Linked DNA regions of Arabidopsis thaliana. The protein of the gene in region 2 interacts with the protein of the main gene of each other region in a pairwise test. Each region holds a gene or a part of one and is shown on either strand. Other genes may lie near its edges. The genes, in order: BHLH100, FRU, AGL44 and BNQ3.

Region 1 (3,768 bases), 5.2 Mb from region 2:
CCTTTACAGCTTCGTTGATGCAGTCGACCCAGAAAAGTTATTCCCTTTGCAGTTTTTGGTTAAAGAATTTATGGTAAGACAAACTAGAAAGAAAGACTTAAACATTTCGAAGATCTTTTGGTTTTCTTTGTATATTATAAATTACATAGCTAGGTAATATAATCGATCATGTTAAAATTTAAGACACTAAAAACTAAATTTGAAAATAAGATTAGGTATTTTATTAGGATATTATTTTTAATTTACAAATATGCTTGTTTTTTTTTTTTTTGGTGCAAACAAATATGCCTTAGTATTTATTTGAAACAAAATGGGCCAAAATTATTCTTCCAATTAAGGCCCAAAAGCGATCATTCACCTAATTTTAGATCAGGCAGGCTTGATAATTGGGAAGATTATTATGTGTTTTTAAACACTGATTCACCATCCATAAGTTATGTGCTTCTGTTTTGATTTCAGGGTTTTTAAATATGTAATTTTGCCGAATCAAACGGAAAAAAATTGAATACGAAAGGTTAAAAAAATGACTTCAGATGATTTTTTTGTTAAAGACTTTCAGATAATTAGTGTCCACATATGACATCGGTGTGTAACCACAGATGTGAGATGACAAATCCTCATAAAATATACACAGATATATAAACCTTTACACTGTTGCACACAACCCATGTTCGCGTTGTTCTCCTTCCAAATCGGTACCAAAACGTTTGCCCGTGAAACTTTCATTTCGCCAAAATAATATAATATATTAAAATTAATATACAAAAAAAAAACCTATTTCTAAAAAGAACCTCGAATTTTAACGAGAGACAAAACAGAAAAAATATATATAGCATCGTTAATTATTAAATCATGTAAACGAGTGTCCACATTTCTCGTACAAGTACAACAATCTATCACCTAATTCTTCGGAATTCACCTGGCCATTTTTTATCTGAAGATGCATAGAGTAAAAGAGTCGCTCTCCATGAGACCTTGAAGATGAAGCACCCACAAGAACCAACCCATCTTCTTCTACACCACTCAAGACATTCCCAAACGAACATTTTTCAGTCTGTAACGATGAAATTTGGACCATCACTTCAGTCTCACTGAGCCTAGTCGAAGAAACTGTCGACGCATAGCTTGTAACCCCTTCCTCTGACTTACTGTTTTGGTCGGTGTAAACGAGATCTCTTTGACCCGAAATTTGAAACGAGAGCTCTTCTTTCTTCTTCATGAGCTTTTTAACTTGCTCTTGCAGCTCTGGTATGTACTTCAATGCTTGTGAAACTGTTGCCGAAACACTTAACTTCTTCTGCAAGAAAATACATAAAAAATAGGACAGATCTTTCAGTTTATGTTACTTGGGACCGATTTTTTTTTCCTTCTTTGCGTTAGAAAAAACAAAACATATCACTGTTTGTATCAACACCAAAATTGCAAAAGCAATGAATAACAACTTTTAGCATTTGCAAGAAAACATTTGATATTTTTTTGTTTCTGTTGAATATTAAACTAAACTTTCAAATTTTTTCATAATTTTAGAAATAGAAAAGTATATAGAATTAACAGTTACCGTTTGATTGGTGGGAGGAAGACAAGAACGAAGAGATGAGAACATTGTGTTGATCTTCTTGCGACGCTCACGTTCACTCGCGTTGTGATTAAGCTTCTTCATCACCACGGGATTGTCTAGTAATGTTCTGTTATTCTCAGACGACACATTCTCATGAGTCACCGTCAAGTCCGGCAACGGAAAATCAAGAAACGTGTTGGATACGTCGTCGGTTTCATAGAAGCTATGATCTCCGCAAGGCCAGCCGAAATTGGGATATAATGGAGGGACAAGTGCACACATTTTGAGTTTTAGATAGTTACTCTGTTCTTTTTTGTCTCTCTCTAGAAGCTGTTTCGGTTGGGATTATGCTGATGTGTTAGTTGGATTATTTATGTGGACACTCATTTTTGTTTATATATACACTGATACACACACACGGACACAAGAAAAATACTAATGACTCTGTGTTGTATATGTAATAAATTAAAATACATTGGGTCACGAGTGGACATGCGTTGACACGTGGTTGAGCACTTTTCCCCCAAGTAGGAGCATGTTCCAAGGATCACCTGTTGACCTCCGGATACAGGCATTAATATCCTAATGTTCTTATCGTAATTTATAACATAAGTTTACACTATTGTATCGTATAATTACATGAATATGAATGTATGAGTATTAATCAAAAATTCTAAATATTTTATAATGTGTCAAAATAGAAATTCGATTTATTAAGCAAATTATTTAGTTAGCAAAAAATAACAGTTAAATAGGAACAACTACTATAAGAAGATACAGAATATGCAATCACATTTTTCTACCACAAATACGTTAAGTAAACTAAGACCAAAAATATGAATTATGACGCAGCTGGAAGAAAAGAGACAGACACTGAGAAGAAGTACACGAGGATACACGGGTTTGGTGGACGTGGACTATTGAGAGGCACGAGCAAATCACGTGGAATATGTTAAGGCTTTTCTCCTGAATCCAACCATTTCTATGTAGTATATACGTAGGCATTAAGTGTTTACAAATATTTAACAAATGTATATTCCTTATTTAAATTTATTAATTACATCTTATATGGTGTAGTGTCTATCGTTTATTTTGTATTATATTATAGCCTTTCTGATCATATTACACAAGTCAACTCCGGTCATCTCGGTCAGGCCAAAAGCCTTGATTCTATTCTATTATCCATGGACGAGGATAAAAGAGAGACGGAGATATTTTGGATTTTTCCTCATTCTATTTACGCCTCTTTAAATCCAAAGATCTAAATGGGCTTCTCTAAAAACAATTGGCCCTAAGATAATTGCTTTTTCTTTTTCTTTTTTTTGCAATGAGTTTACATGTTTGTAGCCCATTATATGTAGATAATCTCTAAAATGTGAAGTATTTGACTATTTGTCAACAATTATGAACATAATGTTAAAATACAACCCACAATAATCACAGATACAGTTTGATTAGATTTATCCATTGATATGTTGGCAACTTTTGGTATTGTCCATACGTTGCCTAGGTTCAACTCTAAATTTCCATTTTTCTTGATCTCTTCTTGATCACATATTTAAAGAACTCAATTCTCCTTCTTTTATAAGCAAATGTCGAAAACAGTACAACACTTCGGTTCGGATTAAGAACGATCATGAAGCTTATTATTGATCTTTTATTATACATTGTTTTCTGGTTTTCTACATTAGCCGCAACATATATTACACACATTATGCTACAAAAGAGAAATGGAATATACAAAACTGCTCACACAAAAAAAGAAGAAGCTAAAACTGAAGTCTGAACATGTCTCTGAACCATTTCTCTCATATGCTTTTGCTTCAGACCTTCACTCCTATCCGTTGAGCAACCTGCAGAACAAAACAAAAGCACATTCATTTCAAGTAAACCAATGATTTTTAAATTCTTGAGAGATTTGAGCAAAACCAGAGAGATTCGTTTACCTGTTTAAATGACGTAACTTCACTTCCCCAGAGCCAAGCGTCACAGCCTGCGTCTCTAGCTCCCCATACATCATTCCTACGGTCATCTCCTACATGAACCGCATCCTCGGGATTCACTTCTAATAACTCACAAGCTTTTAAGAAGATAGTCGGGTTTGGTTTTTCCGCTTCAACCTGTTAAACATTCAACCAAAAACCTTAAGTATTTACACACTCACTCCCAAAACGTTTCGGATCATCAACAAAAATATATAAACGAAAAGA
Region 2 (3,872 bases):
ACGATAAAGAAGCCTTAGCATTCACCAACCGTATGAGGAGAAACAAGCAGACAAGCGTAACCATCTTACACCTCATACCTCAACTTACTACCGAGGAAAGCGAAGACTCGGTGCAGAAGTTGGATTACGATGACATAAAAGAGATAATGAAGACTGAGGATTCAAATGAAAATGATTCATGGATATGTATAGAAAAAAGCGTCAAAGAAGGGGCTGAGACTTCAGTGATACTTAGATCAATAGCGTATGATTATGATTTGTTTATAGTTGGAAGAAGTAGCGGAATGAATAGCGCAGTTACAAAAGGATTAAATGAATGGACAGAGTTCGAGGAACTTGGAGCCCTCGGAGATGTTATAGCGTCAAAGGAGTTTCCTTCAAGGGCATCTGTCTTGGTCTTGCAACAGCAACAATATTAGAATCTTTTTGTTTTACCATGTTATGAATATCCAAAGCACAAATTAGGTTCCTAGAGTTGAGTCGGCGATCCATATAGGTCGTCTGTACTGCTTTCTCGGGGTTAAAATTCTTTATTCTTTTACCAATCAAACAGAGAACAATACATAGAATCAAGATGTGAATGGTCTTGCAACAACAAAGCAATAATACAGCCAATGAACCAAAACGTGATATATCAAAGCAAAAGAAACTTAAGACTTGAGACTATAAACAAAACATAAATATTACTTCATTTAACCATACAATTTGTCGCTAAATTACTATATAACATGGTGTTTATTCAATAGAGAATCAACAATCTCGGTTACATCATCACTAGAATAGAAATTAGAGCCCTGGAAGTTATGAAACATGTAAGAAAGGTACACAATCAATATAGTGCAGAACCGGATTTGACTCACGTTAGAGCAAGCGTTATAGAATCAAGTAAATGACTTGATGAATTCAAAACCTTGATTTAAAAGTGATCCAGTGATCCACAGCTTCAGGTTAGGCAAGTTTAAGCTCTGTTCGAAGCATGTCCCCTGTTTCCACCACACAAGAAAACTCGGTAAGTAAACGGTATACTCGGAAACAAAACAAAGTAAAAGGGCACAAGTTGATTTACATCTAAGGTATATGTTAAGAGGTATGTGTCCGGAGAAGGAGAGCTTAGGTTAGAGTTCTGCACTTGGAAACTTGTAAGAGACTCCAAAGACTTGTAAAGAGATGGAGCAACACCTTCTCCTTTGTTACACACCAATCTCACATAAAACCCTTTCTCCTCCACTTGTATAACATCCATCTAACACAACAAAACATACAAACTTTAAACACTTTGATGTTTCAAGAAGATTGATTGGTTTTTTTAGGTTATTACCTGAATGATTTTTTTGGAAGCAGGAGGATTGATACCGCGAAAAGGTTGAGTCTTTTGAGCATCAGGAGCATGTTCTTGGTACCCTCCAGTAGAGTTTAAAGAAGCTTCAAGACCCGCGATATCGGATTTGAGTTTCTTCGCTTGTGACTGAAGTTCTTGAACATACAACACTGCATCTCCAACAATGGATGCTTTATCCATCTAAATGCCAACACACACATACTTCATCAATATTTACAGTTTCATTAGTCATTACCAAATCTTGAAAATGTTGTGACTTACCTTAGTAATATTGGGAACAAGAGATCTCAATGCATAAAGCTTATCCTTCATACGCCCTCTCCTTCTTCTCTCAGAGATCAAAGTCCTAGACCGATCAGTCTTCGTCTTACGGGTCCCATCATTATTCGTAGTAGTGGCTGAAGAATCATCACCGTCGTTGTAATCTTCTTCATCTTCTTCACCACCGGCTCTAACACTATCACCGTCGAAGCTACGGAATGATTCAGCAACGTTGGAGTCTAAGTCAGGCAATTCGTCGAAGAGGTCATCGACAGGTGTTGGGATGAACTGGTTCTCGTCTATGAAACAGGGGCTGTTTTGTAATGGACCAAGATCGAAATCAAGAACTGGGTTTTCGTCAATGGTTTGATGATCTCCTCTTATGAGGTTTATGAACTGATCGAAGTTTGGATCGACCAAGAAATTGTGAAGTTCGAGATCGTTTATGTTTGACAGAGCGTTGACTCTTCCTTCCATTTGTGTGTTTTTGTCAATGAAGAAAAGTTGTTGACAACGAAAGAGAGACAAAATGAGTTTATATAATAGAGTGAGTATGAAATAAACTGTATTAATTAACATAATAAGTTAAGAAATCAATTAAAACAAATTTAAAGAAATGTACTCTTGATAGTTGGTTGATATTAGTTTATTCAGTTACGTCTTGTAATGTCATGCATGACCTGTATATTATATGTATAAATTATGTTACTCGAATGATTAATTTGTCGTGTTGCATGACAATTATATTTCCACATTGTTCTTCTTTATATTTTATCATTTGAATTTTTTTTTGTGGTGGAGGGAATGCAGATTAGAAACAAGAGTATATGTTGATCAAAAAAAAAAAAAAATATATATAGAAATAACACACATTTTTGGTCATGTCTTTATTGGGAGAAGTTTTTTAAAATTATACTACTTTCCAAAAATATCATTTTTATCCATTTTCAAAAATACCACAAATATTTAGAGTTTTTTAAAGTTATAAAATATACCAAAAATATTACTATATAATTTAGTTTATGAATACATTATTATGAGTTTTGGTTATTAAGACCTTATATAGGCATATAGCATGTATATTAAGCTCATAATATATCCTGTTACTATATAATTTAGTTTATGAATATATATGAGTTTTGGTTATATAAATAAATAAATCGATCAGACCGTATTAAAAAGGTGTTCATAAGTAAAAGTTTACTACGATATTAGACGTACAAATGTTAGTGTACTGTTTATATTTTTGAATTTAGATCCACATATATTCTTGTTTATTAAAATGTTAGGAATTAATTTGCAATCGGCTTATTACAACTGTAGATGTCAACTGGTTTAGTTGTCACAAGCTAGAATTTTAACAAAAGTTTTTCTCAACATTTTTATGTTAGTGTATTTAAAAAGTACTCCAATATGATAAATATGTTTTGTAGAAAAACGGCCAAAATTAATTTCAAATATAAACTTAAACCAGCATAATTTTCAAATAACAAACCAACTCTGGAATATAATAGCATTTCAATTATTTTCTTTTATTTTTGATAAATGCATTTCCATTTTTCAAATCATTTAAGGATAAACCGCAATTAAATTATGAAGAAGCCTGTTCAATGCACGGTTTTCGTTCTTGTCTCAACAAACAAACAAAGGATAGCAAAGAAAGACAGTATAAAATATTAAAGTCTTGGCCGGTTAGGACAAAAATCAACTCTTTATAATATTTCAAGTTGGAATATTTTTTCAGGTATATAACTGTAAAAAAAAAAAAAAAAAAAAAGTCAACCAATTATAGATTCCATCTAGGTGTTGAATTTATTAGAGAAACTGAACTTTTGAGCAACATTGGATTTTTGGGATACTCCACAACTTTCAAAAACATCAACCAATTTCCAAATAAATATTTGAATAATGCTATTATGTCAATTTAGTAGATGTTTGGTTAGATCGTGGCTGTAAATTTCGGTCTGTAATGTTTCTGATATAATCTTATTTTTGCTGTAAAATTTTTTTTCACATATAGCCTCTAGAGTTTAAAACAAATAAAAATTGTTGTAAAAACAATTCATGAATATGGCATACTTTGGTTCAAATATATTTGATACATGTGAAGCTAGCATAATTTTTACTGAAATTCTTCCTATTTCGTTTTTTTTTTGCCACATGATTATCTTTCAGTACTCCAACAAATATGACAACTCTTTTTCTTTTCTTCACTAATTGACATTTGGAACAAATACAATTTTGCTGTACCTATCACATCTTTAGAAACATA
Region 3 (7,495 bases), 6.0 Mb from region 2:
TGAGCAAGTAATCCGCGGAGGCTGAATACAGAGCAATATCTCATCTTCGAGATGAACTATTATGGATAAAGAAGGTACTTCTATCAATGGGTGTTCGTCATGATCAACCGATGAACATTTTCTGTGATAGCAAAGCAGCGATCTACATAAGTACTAATCCAGTCTTTCATGAACGTACCAAGCACATCGAGAATGACTGTCATGTTGTTCGTGTGAAATACAAAAAGGAACCATGTCTCCACATCATGTTTCCACAACTCAACAGCTAGCCGACATTTTTACGAAACCGTTAGGACGACAAGCATATGAGCTATTTCGCAGCAAGCTGGGCATTCTTGATCTCCACGCACCAGCTTGGGAGGGGGTAATAGCGTATCCTAACGTATCAATGTGATACGCTCCAATATCAATCACATTTACTGTGAATTGATTTTGATTTGTATCTCTTTAGGAAAGTAGATATCGTCTCTTACCTATATAACAATGTAAAGGCTACTGTGAATAAGGACAAGAAACTTCTTCTCATACATCAATCTCTATTTGTTCACTTTGTATAAAAATGCCAATTAGACTGGATTTTGTAGATTTAATGTACCCGAAAAAAACACACGGTAAAATGATGTCTAGTATGTTCGGCACTCACATCACATCATTATTTTATGATGTACATACACAAGTAACTTGACAAAGAGAAACTTGTCATATACATATTAAACTCCAAAGTAGTAAACAGAATTACATAACCAAGAATGAAATGATCCAGCTTGGTTGTTACTGAAGATGACATACAAACTCTTTTCGTATATTGTTCGATGTCCCACATGTTTTGCTAGGAAAGTTGTAGCCTAATTCAAAGATTCAGACATATTCTATAAAATTAAGAACTATAAGTCTATAAGCTTAGTTTATAGATTTACTGGTTGAGTGAGAAAACTTACCCTAGTCTGATTGATTTTTCTCTAGGAGCTGGTTGTAGTTGTATGAGTTGAAGTTGCGGTGGTGCATATGTTGTGGTTCCATTGCTTATTGGATCTACACTTGAATTGCCTTCAATCGCATTTGTTCTTCCATGAACCTGTTGGCCACGACAAGTGTTTAATTAGGTTAACATGATCAAGAAATGTTTCTACATAAACATTTTTTTTTTATCTAAATAAAAGCATTTGTGTCACCTTCTTTTGCAATTTAATATTTTCCTTACGCATTATATCTACAATATTTTGTAGCTCGTGATTCTCTTTTTGGATGATTTGTCCCTGTAATAGAATCAAACATTGTTGGTTTAAAGATGAAAAAAAAAAATCATCAAACATTGTCAATCTTCTTATTAACCCCAAAAGAACATATTTTGATTATTTGGCTAACAAACCTTACGATTAAGTTCTCTGATTTCATTTGTCATAAGTTGATCCTACAAAAGAGAATAATTAGTTGTCCAAATAGTATGGCAGTGAAAGAGAGGCACCAATAATCTTTGTCCAAAATATGTTTGTATAAAATGTTCCTTAAAACCATACCTTTTTGAGACGAACACCTTTTAGACTTGTTACTAGCTGGTCTTCAAGGTTTTGTAGGTCGTTAGCATTCATTCCAGAAAGTTCCTCTCCCACTAGTTTCCTTCATAGTATTATAGGTTAATTTTATAATGCATTTGGGAGTGAAATATAATTTGTTTAACATGCTAGCTCTTCGGTCAAAATCTATTTGTTTTTACTTGCAATTTCTTATATATAATTGATAGTTTTTGTAAATAAGTAGCGAGATTAGATTAGTATATTGTATCTTATAATACTCAGTTTCTGTTTTGACATGTGCAATAGCTCTTACCTGTGGCATTCTTGTAGATATTGGAGCTGCTGCTGCAAACTTGCAACCTCTCTTTGCCAAAACTGATAACATAAAGAGAAAACTAATGATGTGAATGTAAATGAATATATTAAAGTGGCCCTAGTCATAACAACTATATATTGGTTGCCTCAAACCAGAGCTTCATGTTCTTAGACTCATGGACGATCATATGTGTAGATGTTCGATTAATTTAATTAGCAATCATTATAAGCTAAGCTTTTTAAAAAATAGAAACAATCTCGTTAATGATCATCAACTCACAAATCACAAACTATTTAGATACTTCTAGAAATATAGAAGTTTTTAGGGTTTCAAAATAGGTTGATTATGTAGCAGAAAATGGGAAAGATTAAAACTAACTAAATTGAAATTATGAGACTTTATTTATATAAAATATTATGATATAAGCTTTCAACTCAAAACCAATTAGCAAAGCATTTGTCCATTTATCTTATGTACTAATTAAGGTCCCTTGTTTTTTCTAAAATGAGCAATTGTTATCCATAATATGTCCATATTCGAGATGATGGCTCTTTAAACCATTATATTAATCTTGGTATGTTCGTGCAAGCATTTAGATCAGTAAGACAATAAATTTGTTACCTTAAACTAATTATCATAACTACAGGCTACAGCTAATATGGTCAAAGAAATTGTATTTTTCTTTTGATTGCTTTGATACCGTATATATCAGCCTCTTTGTTACAATTAAAAAATATAGTTTTTATTAATATTAATTTTATAAACTAAAAACGATTTTTCATTTTTGTAGCAAAAAATCAGAGCTTATGTAGTTATTCGAAACAGTTAAACCGATATTAAGAAGATTCTAGATATATAGCATAGAAACATCAAGAACCGATTAAGCTCACAACAAGGAGAGGGGGTTGTGAGAAATACAAAGGCGGGATCCAAACGTGGTTTGCTTCGACGAGATAACACTGTCGATAGTATCTATTTGATTTTTTAAAAAAGTTTTTTGCATTCATATGTATAAACGTTTATTTATTTTTTAAAAATAATTTAATATTATATTTAAAAAAAATTGAAATCATCAATTTTTGTTTTCAGTTACAAATTTGAAAGCATCAATTATTAAATCAAAAATTATTTGGTTAGTTTCTTTTATGTATGTTTTATAAATGTTTTCAGAACGCTATTTAAAAAAATCTTCCATTTAATTAATAAATTTATTTAATTATAAAAAAAAAACAGAAAAACAATCATTTGAAAAACCTAAAAAGAATGTGGGTTCATTCAGAAGTTTATCATCCTAATGAGATAAATTATAATTTAGAGAAAAAGGTAAAAATCTTTACTATGAATACCTTTATCTCTGAGGCATGATTCAGAAGTTGATGCTGCTCCTCTTTTACTCTGTTGTACCGCTCAATGATTGTTTTCATACTATTCAGGTTCGAAAAGATAACAATGTTATTAATCATACATTAATTAACATATTAAAATTAACTCAACAGACAACAGTAAGTAATATAACTTAAGTAACTCAAATTTGTCGTTTGAATTATTTTTTAAAATTTGTGAATTTTGATATCAATTATATAAGATAGATACAAGTTTTACAATGCCAATTCCAGTATATGCATGAAGTTTGTCTACCTATATCGTTTGAGCACCTACAAGGCTACAACAATAGTTCGAACATATATAGAAATATCGTAATATTACTAACAAAAAAAGTAAGTACGGATGTAAAAGCAACGTATGACATGAAAGATGCAAGTGTTTTAAGAAAATAACATGTTATTTTGTATATTTCAGACACAAGCCAAAATACATCAAACTTACTTACAATTCTACCACCATATATATATCGTAAATAAGTCTCCGCATATATAGCCATTTACAAAATTCATTCTATTTTAGACTTACTAAAATATTTCGATATTTTTGTAAGTACCTGCACGGAAGTCTACACATAAGAGAAACTAAGTGTACAAACACCACACACACACACACACACAAGAAGGTATTAACTTAAGAGAAAGAAGTGGACAATCTATTCTTTTTTGTCCGTACACGTTCACGGTTTGTACCGACGACATTGTGGGTGATTAGAACAAATTTCATTATCTAGATTGGGAATCCATGCTCCAGCATCTTCCCTCTTACTCGTTTTATTGATCGATAAATCAACCCACAATAGGTTAGTTTCGCTTCGCTCCTTGACCTTCTCCAAAAGGTGGTTTCGAGCAAAAGGAATTCTTTCATTCCTTTCTTATTATCTTAGATTTCACACAAACATTTTGACTACTAATTTTATATTTAAATGATGAATGAAGTATGATCATCAAAACAAAAGAATGAAAAAACTACATACATTTAATTCAATTCATTTACCTTCCAAAATATTAGAGACATATATATTTCTTATAAATTGTTGTTAAATATTTAGATTTCAGATGAATGTTTTTCTCCTGTTTTTTATTTACTGTAAAAGTAGATGAATCTTTCATTTTAGCATATATATGTCTCTAATATTTTTGAAATATATATACAAATTGAATATATATATAAGAAAGCTATGAGGGAAATAAATATAATGAAAGAATAATATCAGGGACATAAAATATAGTGATGAATGAAATATATATATCTTACAGATTTTTGAAGTATAAATATTAGAGACATATATATTTTTTAGACAGAAATTTCAGGGAAATGCGCATGAATGTCTTTTCTTTAATTATGTACTTACATTACATACTTAGCTTATACAAAATTGGAAAATGTATTTTTTTAAACACTTGTTAAAACACAGAATCAAATGCTTTTTGTTCTATATTATATGAAAGAAAACCACAAACTAATCTTTTCAAGTTCAAATTTTATCAAATAGCACATGGTCACATATATGTGACATATTACGAATTCAAATCAATTATAATAAAAGGTGAAAATGTAGATAGAGTAAAATACAAACAATTCTAATCAATATAGTCTGTATACATCACATAGTGAAGAAGTAGAAATAATTTTTTTGATCTGTATATAGTACTGGTTCATGTTCTTTCTATAATTGAACACTTAGCAAGGCATAAATCAGTAACCATTTATCTTGATGCACTTGCAACAAACATAGATACACGTGCATATACTTATCGAAAGCTATGAGGGAAATAAAATAATTTGAAGTTAAGAATGTTCAAATCATAATTTGCTATGCAAGTCTTACATGGATATATCGTCTGTATTCAAATCAATGTGTGTAAGATAAACTAAAGCCTATCTAAAGATATATAATAATTTAAGTTTGATTTGAAAAAACGAAGGAGAAACAAACATCAAAAATCATCGTTCAAAATAGCTAAACATGTGCTATAACCCTATCGAGAAACTAATACTTAGACAAAAAAAAAAAGAGAGAGAGACAAAAAGTGTGTAACGATGAGACATTATCATTAGTGACAATTGTATATACACACACATGTCTTGGGATCAAGAGAACTGAGGAATCTAACAGGCAAGACAAATGCAAAATTACTTCATTGACTTGTACTAAGGAAGTAAAGAAGCTAACCTTGAATTGCTTGCGTAGTCGTAGAGCTTTCCGGTGCTAGAGAATATGATAACACCAACTTCTGCATCACAAAGGATCGATAACTCTTTAGCTTTCTTAAGCAAACCACTCCTTCTCTTGGAGAAAGTCACTTGTCTACTTGTAGAGTTATCGATCCTTCGTATAACTATCTTCCCTCTCCCCATCTCTCTCCCCAAAAGACTAACACCAAAACCAACTGCATCAAAGTTTATCAAGAATAAGTAAGCACATCGTAAATGTCAAAATGATCAAATCTAGATAATCTTCCTGATTCAAACTTGACTTAGATTTGTCCTCTTTCATAGATTTCTCCTAGTTTCTTGGATTGAATTTATATACATATGTGTTCGTGAAGATTTGACTTACTTGATCAGGGTTTGCAATAAATGGAAAGAAGAAGGCAGAGGAAGAGGAGAAGCTTCTTTTTTTTTTTCCTTCTCAAAAGATATCTTCTGTGGTTTCTGTTTGTGGTATATATGGCAAGAGAGCGGATTCAGAACAAAACCACTGCTGGTTTTATTACAAAAGAGTAGTTTCAATAAAGCCCCACTTGCGTGAGTATAGTAAACATTTATACTCGCTCTCTTATGCGCAAGTCTGATTGAGTCAAACATTTGACTTCGTAAATTGCTAAAATCACGACAAGAAAAGCGAGTACAGTCGAATTATAGACACGAGCGCGTGAGATTTAAATATCCTCGGACTATCAGGTGTACCCAACCACGAATCGTGGGGCGTTAATACAAGGTGGTATTGAAACAATCAATAGATGACTGACACGTGGATAAGTTAGAGATGCTTTTGTAAAGTCCGAGGGGTAATTTAGTAATTGCAAACAATAGTATCTTTCTGTAATTGACAAATGGTTTTGGCTTTTGGCAGAGCTGGTGCTGTACTTGTACTGTTGTCCGATGATATCTCTTCCACTTATTATTTTATTGTTTTTTTGTGTGGTATCATCTTTTCTGGTTTTGATATTTTTGAGGTTTAAAAAGTCGGACATGCGTATATTTTTTCGAATAATATATGTAATAATCTATATTATCTTTAACTCTAATCCTTGGTCATTGAGTAAAACTTTTTTTAATAAATCTGGCCAATAAATGACTAATGAAAGAGAATATGTAAGTTCTTATTGCATCCGTTTAGAAATTTGGAAGTTTCTATACAATCGAGGATACCATTTTAGTGTGATTTTATTTTACATATATATATTACATGTTGAGTATATATTTTTTAAATTCCTTATTGTTTTTTAATTTTTATATTTTTTCTGTCAATGTAAAATTTTATATATTAATTTCATGAATGTGACACTACTCATGAATCGTTTTACAACCTTGTTCTTTAATCTAGTTGGTATTGGATTCTCCATTCATATTTTAATTTTTCTTGATCTTGAATGAATTTTTATTTCACTTATTACATTGAGTATGTATAAATATTTCTACATCATTGTCATGAATATGTTTACTACTCATAAATGATTTAACTATAACAACTTTGTTCTTAGATAATTTATAAGTATGATTATTTGTTAAATTTAAAGGTCCAAAATGCCAAAAAAAAAAACAAAAAAAAAGCTTAAGATAACAAAAGGTAATTCGGATCGAATATGGTTCGATTTATCTATTGAATTTTTTAACGGTCGAGTAGTCCATCCATTATATTTATTTAGGGATCTAAAGGATGACACTATTTTGACAGTTCAAACAACAGTTGGGTATTTGAAACCCATTGGTAACCAGGATAGGATCTTTATGCTAGAATTAAAGAAATAATTTAGATTGCGTGGATGTGAGACTCAGTGACTTATATCACATGTCATCACTAGGACATGTGAAGGTCATTGTATTGGATGTATGAGCAAAATCTAAAACCAGTTCAAAAATTGACTCTCTGTAACGACATTTGTTTTATTACTGAGGCTGGAAAGAATTCATGATAAGGTCTAATAATTTTCTAGTTGTTAAATTTTCCTTGAGTTTAGTGATCTCTTGGATATAAACTTTAAATATATTGGATACAAAAACTAAGTAAAATTTAATGTAATGAGAGACTGAGAGTATCAGTATGGGCCTAACT
Region 4 (3,230 bases), on a different chromosome or scaffold from region 2:
TAAATAAAATCAAATGAAAATGTAAAATAAAATAATAAAAAAATGTAAAACAATCCACATATGAAAAAAAAATCTATTACTAGATTAAATCTAATAACGATTTAAAAATAGACAATACGTGTTCGGAATTTGGAATCAAAGTCCAATTTTCTCTTCTAACTTCTTAATTAAAAAACAAACTTTTAGTTTACAATTTATTTAATGAATTAAATTAAAAATATATTTTTTCTCAATTGTTGGTGTAACCATAATTAACTAATGGAATTTTTTGGAGAAAATATTAATTACTTCAATAAAACGAATGTTATTTATTATCTAAATATAAAGATATTACATGATGGGAAGAGAGACGGGTTACCATATAGTTTGATACCTAGACAAATTTCTGTCTGTAGACTATAAAATTATTTATAGGAATCATTTCCATTGATTAGAAATTCTTGAGATATAGTGATAAAATTGTCAGATCTAAATGGATAAATAATCGAGCGCTTGATTGATTATTCCAAATTTGCAATATATTAATCAACTGATTGATGCCCATGGTATACAAATAAAAATGGAAGAAAGACCAAACTAAGGTACACTCAAAATGGAAAAGACTGATATTAGAATTGTTTAATTTCATCTCTAATAAAACTAAATCAACTTAATTATTTATGTTTGTCTGTACATGCTCAAATTAGTATATGTACTAGATCAAGTATGTAACTATATAAATAAATTAATCTTGCAATATAACTATAGAAGTTGATTAACATTTCCAGGAGTTAATCCTAATTTTACAGTTCTTGGATTAATTAAGATATCATACAAACTAATCATAATTTGTAGTCTAGTACCAAAGTTTGTATTATCACCAATTCCAGAATTTATGCAAGTTTGCCGATAAGTATGACAAACATGCATACATATTCTCTTTGTCTTATAAACCCAAAATGTTTTAGTATACTCTATTCGTGCCAAAAAAAAATATGAAAGAAGGTATCCTCCAACTATAATCAAACATCACCTTTTAAATGATTTACTAAAATGGCACAAGATCACTCTTGTTCTGAAGTTGGTTACTAGTGAAACATATATAGAAAAATGAAAACTGGATTAGCAAAAAAAATAATGTGGAATTAAAATGAATTTTAATCTTCTATTTTATAATGAATTGTAATTGGATAAATGGAAATGTTTTTCCTATATAAGTTTAAAAACATAACGAGACGAAAATTTTCTACCGTTAACAACAAAGATGTTCTTGCAAATAAGATAAGCGTTTTTTTATTGCACAAATATATCTATAAATTTTAGATAAAATATAAATTCTTACCCATTGAGATTTGCATAATACTATTCAGAGTGTTTTTTTTCCCTTTCGTTAAAGACTACTAGTCAGAGTGTTAATCTAGTAATTCACCAATTAATTTAACTATACTTAAAAATATTACAGTTTTTAGGAAACATGCTAGAAAAAACATATATAATTTTGCAATTATATTATTCCATGCATACACATGTAGAGCCAAAAACGGAGAAAAATCTTCTATATAAACACAAGTTGAAACCATTCATGTTTATTTTAAGCAGTTGCAGTAGACTCTTCCACTTCTGTATTCAATTCTTCCTTCTTTTTTCTCTTATAATATAAATAACATACAAAGAAAATACTTGCACTCACAAATATTGATTAAAGTTAATTAGTGAACCCTAAGATTTATAAATCTCTAGCTATACTCTACCATATCATATATATTACATAATGTCTAGCAGAAAATCACGTTCAAGACAAACTGGAGCTTCCATGATCACGGATGAACAAATCAACGATCTTGTCCTCCAGCTTCATCGGCTTCTCCCCGAACTTGCTAACAACAGACGCTCTGGAAAGGTACAACGTTCTAATCAATTTTTCATTATGATTCCTTTTAAAAAATTTAATTTCCTCTTTCAAACCTTAAATCTTTTCTAAACCTTTTTAAATCTTCCTTGGATTAGTAGTGGGTACTTAAAAGAACAAACCTCCGGTTTAAAAAAAATAAAAATAATAACTAATATATATCCTCCATCAAAGTTTAACAGTAATTCTTTCATCTTTCTGTTGTTGCAAACAAACGAGAGTCTTTAGTTAGAATTATAAATAAATATTAAACTAATATTCCATATATTCCAATATTGCATGTATGTATTGATTCATTTGATTGTGATGCATTTTGTGACGAGTGCTAAATTTTAATTTCCAAACTAATCGACAATAAATAGCATGCTGCATGCATGATAATTAAATTGTTAATTATATATAAGATCCTTCTTCTTATCAATATATTGGTTACTTTCAGGTTTCAGCATCAAGGGTATTACAAGAGACATGCAGTTACATAAGGAACTTGAGCAAAGAAGTGGATGATCTTAGTGAAAGATTGTCTCAACTTTTGGAATCAACTGATTCAGCTCAAGCTGCACTAATCCGAAGTTTGCTTATGCAGTAGAATTAGTGCAATAAACGAAGGATATTTTTTTCTTTTCTTTTTTTTGAAAAAATGTCTTCTCAGTTTTAATTCCCCTTCTTATTGTATTTATAATGTCTGGCAGCTTGTGTCCCCTGTTAATTATGCAATGTTTTATTTTTAATATATGTAGGGTTTTGTTTTTGTCAGTTGTTGAACGAAGCAAATGGTTTGGGTTTACGTTCACATTATTTAAGGCAACACACTCAATATATGGGCTTAGGTATTTCTTAGATTCTAGGCATTCCAACCAAATCCATCACATTTTAGTAGCAAAAACATTGATTAAATTTTGAATTTACGAGAAGAACAATGTTTTCTAGTGTCATGCATATACGATTATAACGGTGTTTTTGTAGTTAATATCGATAGGAACTAAACTAACGCAAGTCAAATTTTCTGATCAAAATTAGTCGTTAATTTCGCTTAATGGTATAAAGTATATTTTAAGAAGGAATAAAATATGCTAATAAGCCCCCACGGTTTCCATTTCTGGTAACAAGAATACCATTCAACGTCTCGATCAGCAGCAACGTTGAATCGTTGATATCTATATATAGAAGTATAGAACCAAGGGGTAATTTGGTCATTCCAGTTCTAACCCACTTCTATTACAAGAGCAGTTTACTACGTAAAAACGACCGGCCTTCCACTTTCCCGAAAACAGCCAGCGCCCGCACGTAGAGATTTACTGCATATTCAGTTTTCAGTAAATAAATAGTCCACAAAATTAGT

The links.
Region 1: the proteins of FRU (region 2) and BHLH100 interact in binary tests that used the Arabidopsis thaliana proteins (3 or more experiments, as listed by UniProt).
Region 3: the proteins of FRU (region 2) and AGL44 interact in binary tests that used the Arabidopsis thaliana proteins (3 or more experiments, as listed by UniProt).
Region 4: the proteins of FRU (region 2) and BNQ3 interact in binary tests that used the Arabidopsis thaliana proteins (3 or more experiments, as listed by UniProt).

What each region holds. Positions count from the first base shown.
Region 1 is NC_003071.7:17,197,481-17,201,248, forward strand, and holds BHLH100 (basic helix-loop-helix protein 100), read right to left. Parts: upstream 1,975-3,768; 5' UTR 1,841-1,974; coding exon 1,559-1,840; intron 1,298-1,558; coding exon 851-1,297; 3' UTR 557-850; downstream 1-556. Other genes in the region: AT2G41250 (Haloacid dehalogenase-like hydrolase (HAD) superfamily protein), read right to left, coding at 3,382-3,411, 3,505-3,678. UniProt on the Arabidopsis thaliana protein: Plays a role in metal homeostasis. Confers tolerance to high zinc (Zn) and nickel (Ni).
Region 2 is NC_003071.7:12,002,918-12,006,789, reverse strand, and holds FRU (FER-like regulator of iron uptake), read right to left. Parts: upstream 2,133-3,872; 5' UTR 2,078-2,132; coding exon 1,601-2,077; intron 1,520-1,600; coding exon 1,319-1,519; intron 1,244-1,318; coding exon 1,067-1,243; intron 984-1,066; coding exon 882-983; 3' UTR 795-881; coding exon of another isoform or gene 787-794; 3' UTR 514-786; downstream 1-513. Other genes in the region: ATCHX7 (Cation/hydrogen exchanger family protein), read left to right, coding at 1-419. UniProt on the Arabidopsis thaliana protein: Transcription factor. Essential protein involved in iron uptake responses. Regulates FRO2 at the level of mRNA accumulation and IRT1 at the level of protein accumulation. Confers enhanced iron mobilization responses at low iron supply.
Region 3 is NC_003071.7:6,016,920-6,024,414, reverse strand, and holds AGL44 (AGAMOUS-like 44), read right to left. Parts: upstream 5,858-7,495; 5' UTR 5,777-5,857; intron 5,607-5,776; 5' UTR 5,575-5,606; coding exon 5,390-5,574; intron 3,256-5,389; coding exon 3,177-3,255; intron 1,890-3,176; coding exon 1,828-1,889; intron 1,618-1,827; coding exon 1,518-1,617; intron 1,412-1,517; coding exon 1,370-1,411; intron 1,257-1,369; coding exon 1,173-1,256; intron 1,076-1,172; coding exon 939-1,075; intron 870-938; coding exon 851-869; 3' UTR 846-850; coding exon of another isoform or gene 830-845; 3' UTR 552-829; downstream 1-551. UniProt on the Arabidopsis thaliana protein: Probable transcription factor. Required for root plasticity in response to nitrate, NO(3)(-). Promotes lateral root growth in a NRT1.1-dependent manner.
Region 4 is NC_003074.8:17,588,979-17,592,208, forward strand, and holds BNQ3 (BANQUO 3), read left to right. Parts: upstream 1-1,565; 5' UTR 1,566-1,750; coding exon 1,751-1,879; intron 1,880-2,327; coding exon 2,328-2,477; 3' UTR 2,478-2,692; downstream 2,693-3,230. UniProt on the Arabidopsis thaliana protein: Atypical and probable non DNA-binding bHLH transcription factor that integrates multiple signaling pathways to regulate cell elongation and plant development.